Mus musculus: one gene and its partner. The protein of the gene in region 2 interacts with the protein of the main gene of each other region in a pairwise test. Links are inferred from orthologs where the notes say so. Each region holds a gene or a part of one and is shown on either strand. Other genes may lie near its edges.

What was found. The genes of interacting proteins can lie anywhere in the genome.
Region 1: the proteins of Txlna (region 2) and Btf3l4 interact in binary tests that used the Homo sapiens proteins (3 or more experiments, as listed by UniProt). The two-hybrid records come from large-scale screens. The link is inferred for Mus musculus from reciprocal best matches to the Homo sapiens genes TXLNA and BTF3L4.

Annotation. Positions count from the first base shown.
Region 1 is NC_000070.6:108,816,583-108,820,270, forward strand, and holds part of Btf3l4 (transcription factor BTF3 homolog 4), read right to left. Parts: intron 2,756-3,688; coding exon 2,554-2,755; intron 1,663-2,553; coding exon 1,603-1,662; intron 305-1,602; coding exon 258-304; 3' UTR 1-257.
Region 2 is NC_000070.6:129,638,131-129,642,301, reverse strand, and holds the start of Txlna (alpha-taxilin), read left to right. Parts: upstream 1-1,236; 5' UTR 1,237-1,331; exon of another isoform or gene 1,332-1,371; intron 1,372-1,496; exon of another isoform or gene 1,497-1,874; 5' UTR 1,875-1,880; coding exon 1,881-2,046; intron 2,047-2,734; coding exon 2,735-3,073; intron 3,074-4,171. UniProt on the Homo sapiens protein: May be involved in intracellular vesicle traffic and potentially in calcium-dependent exocytosis in neuroendocrine cells.

The DNA of each region.
Region 1 (3,688 bases), about 21 Mb from region 2:
ACAAAAACCACCCTCAAACTGTACCAATACTTCATATTTTGACCAAAAGAACAGATCCTGGGAAGATAGATCCTGGGAAGAAGTGCAAAATGCAAAATCAAATGACCGAGAACTGCTGAGCAGACAGCATCATTAATATACAAAATATTTATATTACTGAACTAATAACAGGTGTGTTCTCCATGTCTGTAAAACTTTGGAACAACAGAGCTGATTGTTAAATCTAGTCCATGCCAGCTTCCAAAACCCAGAGGATTTTAGTTAGCTTCATTTTTCGATGCTTCATCAAAATTTTCTACAAGATCTGACAAAGAGAAAGGAAAAAATAAGTAAAATACAAATAAGTCAAAATAGTTGCAACTAGAATTAGTCAAAAAGCAGAAAAGATAAAAAAAAATAGCACATTTCAGTAATAATGACTTTTATAAAACAGCAATCTTAAGGAAATGGTTTTTTAAAATTTATGCAAAAATAACTAATAATATTTTGTCAGTTATAATGCCAACAATTTTTAAAAATTATTTTATTATTTTATTTGTATAGGTGTTGTGCCCAAATGTATGTCTGTGTGCCACGAGCATGCAGTTCTCAAGACCAAGAGAGGGTGTGGGATCCCCTGGAATTGATTTTACAGAAAGTTGTGGGCTTTCATATGAATGCTGGAAATTGAATCCAGGTCCTCAGGAAAAGAAGCCAGTGCTCTTAATTGCTGAGTCATTTCTCCAGCCCCTCAACAAAAATTTTCAGCAATAACAATGTATATTGATAATCATAGTGATTTCAATTTAATATATGCAGGCAACAGAGCTTTGTGGAATATTTTGTGATCCTAAGTTCTGAATGAGGAAGGGACTTCTGTATTCATATATATCCTATCATGAGGATCTCAGTTGGATTCCCTGTTCTTTGTGACCTCTAAAGAATTTAGATAAAACACAAAGAAACAGCATAAAAGACAGGCAACTACATTTGTAATAAAGTAGAGCATACACTCGAGGGGCAAGTGTGACCCAGACTGCATATGAGGCAGGCGGCAGTCTCCTATTTCTCAAGTCCCCAGAACAGTTTTTCTTGAGGGTCTTTGTTCTGTTCAGGTGAGTGGCAGGCCTGTTTGTGCTTCGAGACACAAATTGAAGGCAATAGTGTGTCTTTGTTCTTTCTCAGATAGCCTTCTGCTATCCAGTAATCTTTTATGAGGGTTAGCATTACTAGAACCAGGCTTAGATAGTATTATGTAATGGCAGAGATAGGACTTAAGGGACATTTTTCTGACCTGAAGTTCCAGTCCTTGGCTTTTTGGGCTGATTAGGGTCCGTCTCCAGGGTCTTCTAAGCCAGCTAATACCCAGCTAGAAACCTACCACTATCAATCTCACTCTAAATCAACTGACATTCAGTCAAATAAAAAAAAAAAATCTGAAAGTCATCTATGCAGTAAGTGAAAGAAAATAAATCACTTTTTCTTCATTTTAAAAATTACACTGTGTTATTTTATGTGTGTTGCATCTGTGTATGTATGTGTGCAGGTGTAGGTCAGAAGACAACTTGTGTTGCTGGTTCTCCCCTTCTACTATGTGGGTCCCTGGCCTGAGACAGACTTTACCTGGAACATCATCATCCTCTTCATCGATGTCTTCTGGTTTGGGCGCTTTACTATCCAATACTACAAAAAGTTCATTTGAGTATTAGTCACTGAGAACAAAGAGCTTCACAGAACACCTCCAATACTTATCTTCTCTTTGTCTAAATCTCATGTGGCTGTTGAATACAGACAACCTAAAATTTACTTCTATTTTTTTGCTTAAGTAACATTAAAAACAATAAAAGTTTAACGTGAATTAAATATATACAGAACAGCTGGTGATTCCAATGTGCAGAAAAGGTTAAAGTTACAAAATGTAGATTTTGACAGGCCTGAACAAAGGCATCCTCCTTTGTATCCTTTATTAATCTCCAACTAAAAAAAATATTTGAGACTTATTTACCACTTATTTTGATCTAAGTACCTAGCTATGCAGTATGACCATATAACTACTTAAATACAAGGCTCTTTTATGATCAGAGGCAACAAGACATGTATGAAATAAAAACTAATCTGAAAATTCAGAATTGATGATTATCATTATTTATGATTTTAGTAGCAATAGGTAATACTGTATCTGAATATTCTATGACACATTTCATTAATTAAAAAAGAAAACTACAAGTTTTATGAAACACACAAATGGCATTATAAAAAGTAAAAGAATTACCTACTGAGGAAAATCCTCTCAGTTTAAGTAAAACACCTTTTGTTGTTTGTTTCTGAAACAGTCTCTGGTACAGGCTAACTCCAATTTCCCTATACAGCTGAGGATAACCCTGAACTTGTGCTGGAAATACAAGTGTGTGCCATCATACCTAGCACTGCTGGGGACTGAACCAGAATGTCATGCATACAAGGTTAGGACTGTCAACTGAGCTAGGCCCTAGTTCCAGATGGGGTGCTTTTAACATTAGGTTTTTCTTAGTGACAGCAGGGAAGAAGGGGAAAATACTAAATTGAAATACATACCTTGCCGTGGGAACTGTTCAGCTAACTTTCTAAGGCTCGTTAAGCTGTCAGCACCAAGCTGACTTAATATCCCAGGAAGCATTTCTGTGATTGGTTTGGCTTCTGCATGACCAGTAATTGCAAAGGTGTTAGCGGAGAGGGAAGCTTGGACTTTGGGATTGTTGAAATGAATAACCGTGCCATCGTCTTTAATCATATTCACCTGAATGGGCACAGAAAACAATGTATTTCACATGCTAGACTCAACTACAAATATCTTTTTAAAAAGCAGTATTATCTTACATAGTAGCAATCCTACATAGTCCTAATTATCTCAGCAGTAAATACGGCAGAGAAAGAGTCTCATAATGGATTACAATGGTGCTGGCTAGTACACATTGTTGGAGTGGTTATGAAATAGCCACTCAGGCCTCAGTTCATGGCCACTTTTTTTTTTCTTAAGTAGAACTACATTCATGAACCAATTTCTTAATTAGTTACACAAACAAAATCAGTGCAATTACCTCTTACTTAGAAGACAGAATGGAAGGCGGGAAAAGTATGAAGTAAAAATAACCACTGAGAAACCCACATAGATGACACAGAAATCTAATCAGCCAAGCATTTTACTTTTTTGAATGCTCAGTAAATTTACCAAAATTTCAACCTAGTTTACTGTTATTCTTGTTTGTTTTTGTCTAAGATACTCTCACAATGAATCTTTGCCTGGCTTAGAACTCTGCTTGCCTCTGAGTGCTGGGAATAAAGGTATTTTTGCTTTGTTTTGTTTTAAATGTGTACATATGCACCACATATGTACAGGAACCCCGGGAAGTTTAATAGCCAGCCAGCCAGCCTGCCTGCCTTTCTTCCTTCTTTCCCATTTTTCTTTTTTGTTGTTTGTTTTTCTGAGACAGGGTTTCTCTGTGTAGCCCTGGCTGTCCTGAAACTTACGATGTAGACCAGGCTGGCCTTGAACTCAGAAATCCACCTGCCTCTGCCTCCCGAGTGCTGGGATTAAAGGCGAGCACCACCACCGCTTGGCTTCAGGCTGGTCTTTATTATTGTTTCTCCTGCCTCAGGTTTCTAAGTATCTGGGACTATAGATTTGTACCAACAGGCCTAACAGTTTTCTCCAATTCTTAAATATTTCTTC
Region 2 (4,171 bases):
AGAGTTACACGCCAGCCAGCTCTATAAAGCAAGACCTTATCAAACAAAACAAACTCCACACAACAAAAGAATTGAAATCACAATTGTGGGGTTTTTTTTAATGTTCTGAGCCTACACTGGCACTGCAAATCATAATGAAGAACAAAGACGAGAAAAATCTAACATTTTAAAGCAGTAACACTTGATACTTTGCAGAAAGTGGGGCAGGGGTGGTAGGGTGGGAGTTTACCAACCTGCCTAAAGCCAAACTCCCTGGCTTCAATCCCTTTCTGAGGGAGTAATTGCCAAGCTGGTGGGGTTAGAAGGCGGGGCATAAATTGCCTCAGAGAACAGCTGTGGTGTCGGAGAATGGTTCCAACCGGTTTTGGTAGGCAGCTCTGAGTTAGAAGCCAGCATAGTCAAAGATTACGTTCTAGGACACACTAGGCTACACAAAGAAACCCTGACTCAGGGGGCAAAGAAATATTTTTAAAGGATGGGTGCTGGTGTCAGGCTTCCAGCTTTGAATCTGCTATAACCACACAATATTGATGGAGCCTTAAACTATTTACCCTTTACCTGGTGGCCTTTGCCATTAGTCCAAGCCATGGGGAGGCAAAGACAGACAAAACTCTTGAGTTCAAAGCCAATTTAATCTACATAGGGAGTTCCAGGCCTGCCAAAGCCACATATAACGAGATGTTGTCTCTAACAAACAAATAGTAGTTTGTTTTATTTTAACTAGGCTTTTCTGTACTATCGTATATTTCACAGATCACTGAGTATTTTGTACTTAATCCGAGTAATTATGAGAATCAAGCTACTGGATACGAGGAAAAAACGTTTGAATTATTATAAACCTTCTATTGTAATAGAGGGGAAAAAAATGCCAGGCACATAACAAATTAGTTTACCTTTCTATCCCTCTTCCGAGTTCTCAGAGATCATAGAAAGTCATACATGTTTATAAAGGACTAATGAGTGTATGAAAAAAAAAGAAAAAAAAAAGACCAGAATGCCAAAGTTTAAGGCCAATCATAGCTTCAGTACCAGAAAAGAGGCTGACAAAAATCTCTCGACCAATGACATAATTTCGGACCCTCAGGGTATTTGGCTCCTATGCTTTTCGGTTGCATCTCGGGAGTTGTGCGGCGCCGCGAGGCATGAAGGGGCTCGTAGTTTTTCCCACTCCCGCCTCCAAAGCCGCCTTGACTTCTTTTTTCCCAGCAAGCTCCGCGCCCGCGTTTGCTGTTGATTGGCTGCGGCAGGAGAGGGCGGTCCTGTTGGCAGCAGTTACCTAGGTTTCCGGTGCTCGGCCGGAGAGGAGGACGCCGCCGGACGTCCGTGGTGAAGTATGTCTATGGGCTGTACGTGGGACGAGCTCTTCAGAGGGTCTGTGGCCCAGGACGCGTTGGCCGTAGAGGAACAACTAATTCGGGGGGTCGGGGGGAGGGCGGCCTGCCCCAGTGTTGCGCGTGCGTACTCTAGGTCTAGAGGGCGCGTGGGGTGTGGGTGGCTTCTGTGCGCGCGCGCGCGCGGGGGTCCCACGTGGGACCTGGTGGGGCGGGGAGCCGATCGGGACTGGAGCATCCCGCCACGTCAGTCTGCGGCTCTGAGCCAATCCCGCGCTCCGGCTGCCGAGAGGGAGCCGTGTGGTGCCGAGAAGTGGCATTCGGGAGAAAGGAGGCCTCTTCCTTCCCTCACTCACTCAGGGGCAGCTTCTCGGAAACCTTCCATGGGACCGTGAAATCCCGGGCGAAGACCGACCGGTCTGTTTGAAGCTTCGAGCGTCAGATTTGGGGATTTCTTATCTAGTTGTGAAGAAGAATTTTGAAGTCTAGAAAAAAAAAAGCAACTGGGTCCTTAAAGGATCTGCCCCATTTCTGGCCTTGCAGATCACAATGAAGAACCAAGACAAAAAGAATGGGCCTGCCAAACACTCCAACTCGAAGGGCAGCCCGGGGCAACGGGAAGCAGGACCGGAGGGAGCCCATGGACGACCCAGACAGACAGCTCCTGGGGCGGAAGCCGAAGGTTCCACAAGCCAGGCTCCTGGGAAGACCGAGGGTGTGTGCCAGCTCTGCTTTTCCAGTGGGCAGAGGGAGGAGTTTCTGGTACTGGTCTGTCTTCTGAGGCCAGTGTTTACCCAAGAAGAAGGAACTATAGAATGAACGATGCTCATTCTGTGTGATCCTTTTGTTTCCTGGGGAGGTGGTGAACCTTCCCACTCTTAGCCGTGGGGCGCAACCTTGGGAGCATGCTCTGACTGGTTTAAACGAAGACAGTCAAATGAAGCACCCCGTAAGCAAAGTCATATTCCCAGAGAACACTTGCCAGTGGTGGGTAATTGTCCTTCATGAGGTGCAGCGTCTGCCACATGCCAACTGCTCCTCACACAGGGGTGCTTTACACAGTTGGCTTTTATAACAAGTATGTTTGGGTGTTAGAAATACTTGTTTTATAACTAAACAAACTTAGGGTTTAAAAAAACTTAAATTGAGGCCAGGCCTAGTGTCCCTCACCATTGTCCACAGAACTCAGGAGGCAGAGGCAGACAGATCTCGGAGTTTGTGATCAGCCTGCATACTAAGTTCCAAGACAGCCAGGGCCCTGTAGAGAGAGCCTAACTCAACCGAATAAATAAATAAAACAACATTTAACCCACACCAGTGTGTTTATCTGGGCTTAAAGAAGATCCAAGCGAGTGGTATGACCACTGAACTTTAATCCCGTGTCTTCATCTTTCCTGCTGTAGGGGCTCGAGCTAAAGCAGCTCAGCCTGGGGCCCTCTGTGACGTCTCTGAGGAGCTGAGCCGGCAGTTGGAAGACATCCTGAGTACATACTGTGTGGACAACAATCAGGGAGGCCCGGCTGAGGAGGGAGCACAGGGTGAGCCCACTGAGCCGGAAGACACGGAGAAGTCCCGAACCTATGCAGCCAGGAATGGGGAGCCTGAACCAGGCATTCCAGTCGTCAACGGCGAGAAGGAGACCTCTAAGGGAGAGCCTGGAACAGAGGAGATCCGAGCGAGTGATGAAGTTGGAGACCGAGACCATCGGAGGCCACAGGAGAAGAAGAAAGCCAAGGGTCTAGGTGAGGGGGGAGCTATTGGTGAGGGGAGGGAGTTAACACCTGTCATCTCATGGGCTAACCTGCTCTGTCAGAACTCAAAAGAATCTGCTTTTCAAGACAGTATGTGTGTTATCTCCCCTCCCCCCCGCCCGGGTTTACTCAAAGATGGGGTCCTAGCATTGAGCTGTTAGATCACTCACTTGTGCAAAGCCTCCTGGCCTTGGGAAGTGGAGGCAGAGTGTAGCTAGCATCTCACTGAGGATATGGAGAACAGGAGGCCCGAGTGCTTGCCAGCACCACTTTTAGCTGCTGCTTGACTTTGGACATGTTTATTCTCCACTCCTGGGTCTTAGTTTCCCTGTTTCTATAGCAATAGAATTAGGCTACACCAAGGTTGAGATATCAAATATCAACATGAACCAGGTAAGCCACAGACCTCTTCAGAATCATCAAGAAAGGGCCTTCTTGATCTGAAAAATTGACTCCTACCTGGTTAGTCCCCCACTCTCATCTGACCAGCTGAATAATTGGCAACCAAAATAATAGAAACCAAGCAAAGCCATCCACTGGTGGGGTTTGCCATCTCCATGCCAATCTCGTGGGCCTCCAGGACTGACAATTCAGGAACCTGGTCTGTGCTGACTGAATACAGTGGAACCCAAGGGAGACAATTGTAAAGCTTCCTGGCTGAGGTAGAGGCAATCAGGCGTGATGGCATCCACCTTTAATCACAGCACTTGAGAAGCAGGGGCAAGTAGATCTCTTGAGTGCCGGACCAGCCAGCTGCATAATGAAACCTTATCTCAAATGAATAAAAACAGAGAGCAATGGCAGTCCTTTGACAGGGGTGGTGGGATAATATGAAAATATGAATTTAGAATCTAATGGGAACCTATGTGGTAGTGTATGCCTCTAATGGGCGACTAGGAGGAACAGAGGCAGGAAGACTGAGTTCAAAGGCAACTTGGACTACATAGCAAGACCCTCTCTCTCATCTCTCTCTAGTACTGTAACCACGTCACTGGTCCTCCTTCCTCATTTTGTCATCTGTCTTAAAGACAGATTTCTTGCCCTTTTTTTTTCCCCAAGTCACAGGGTCACATATGAAAGAGATGCATC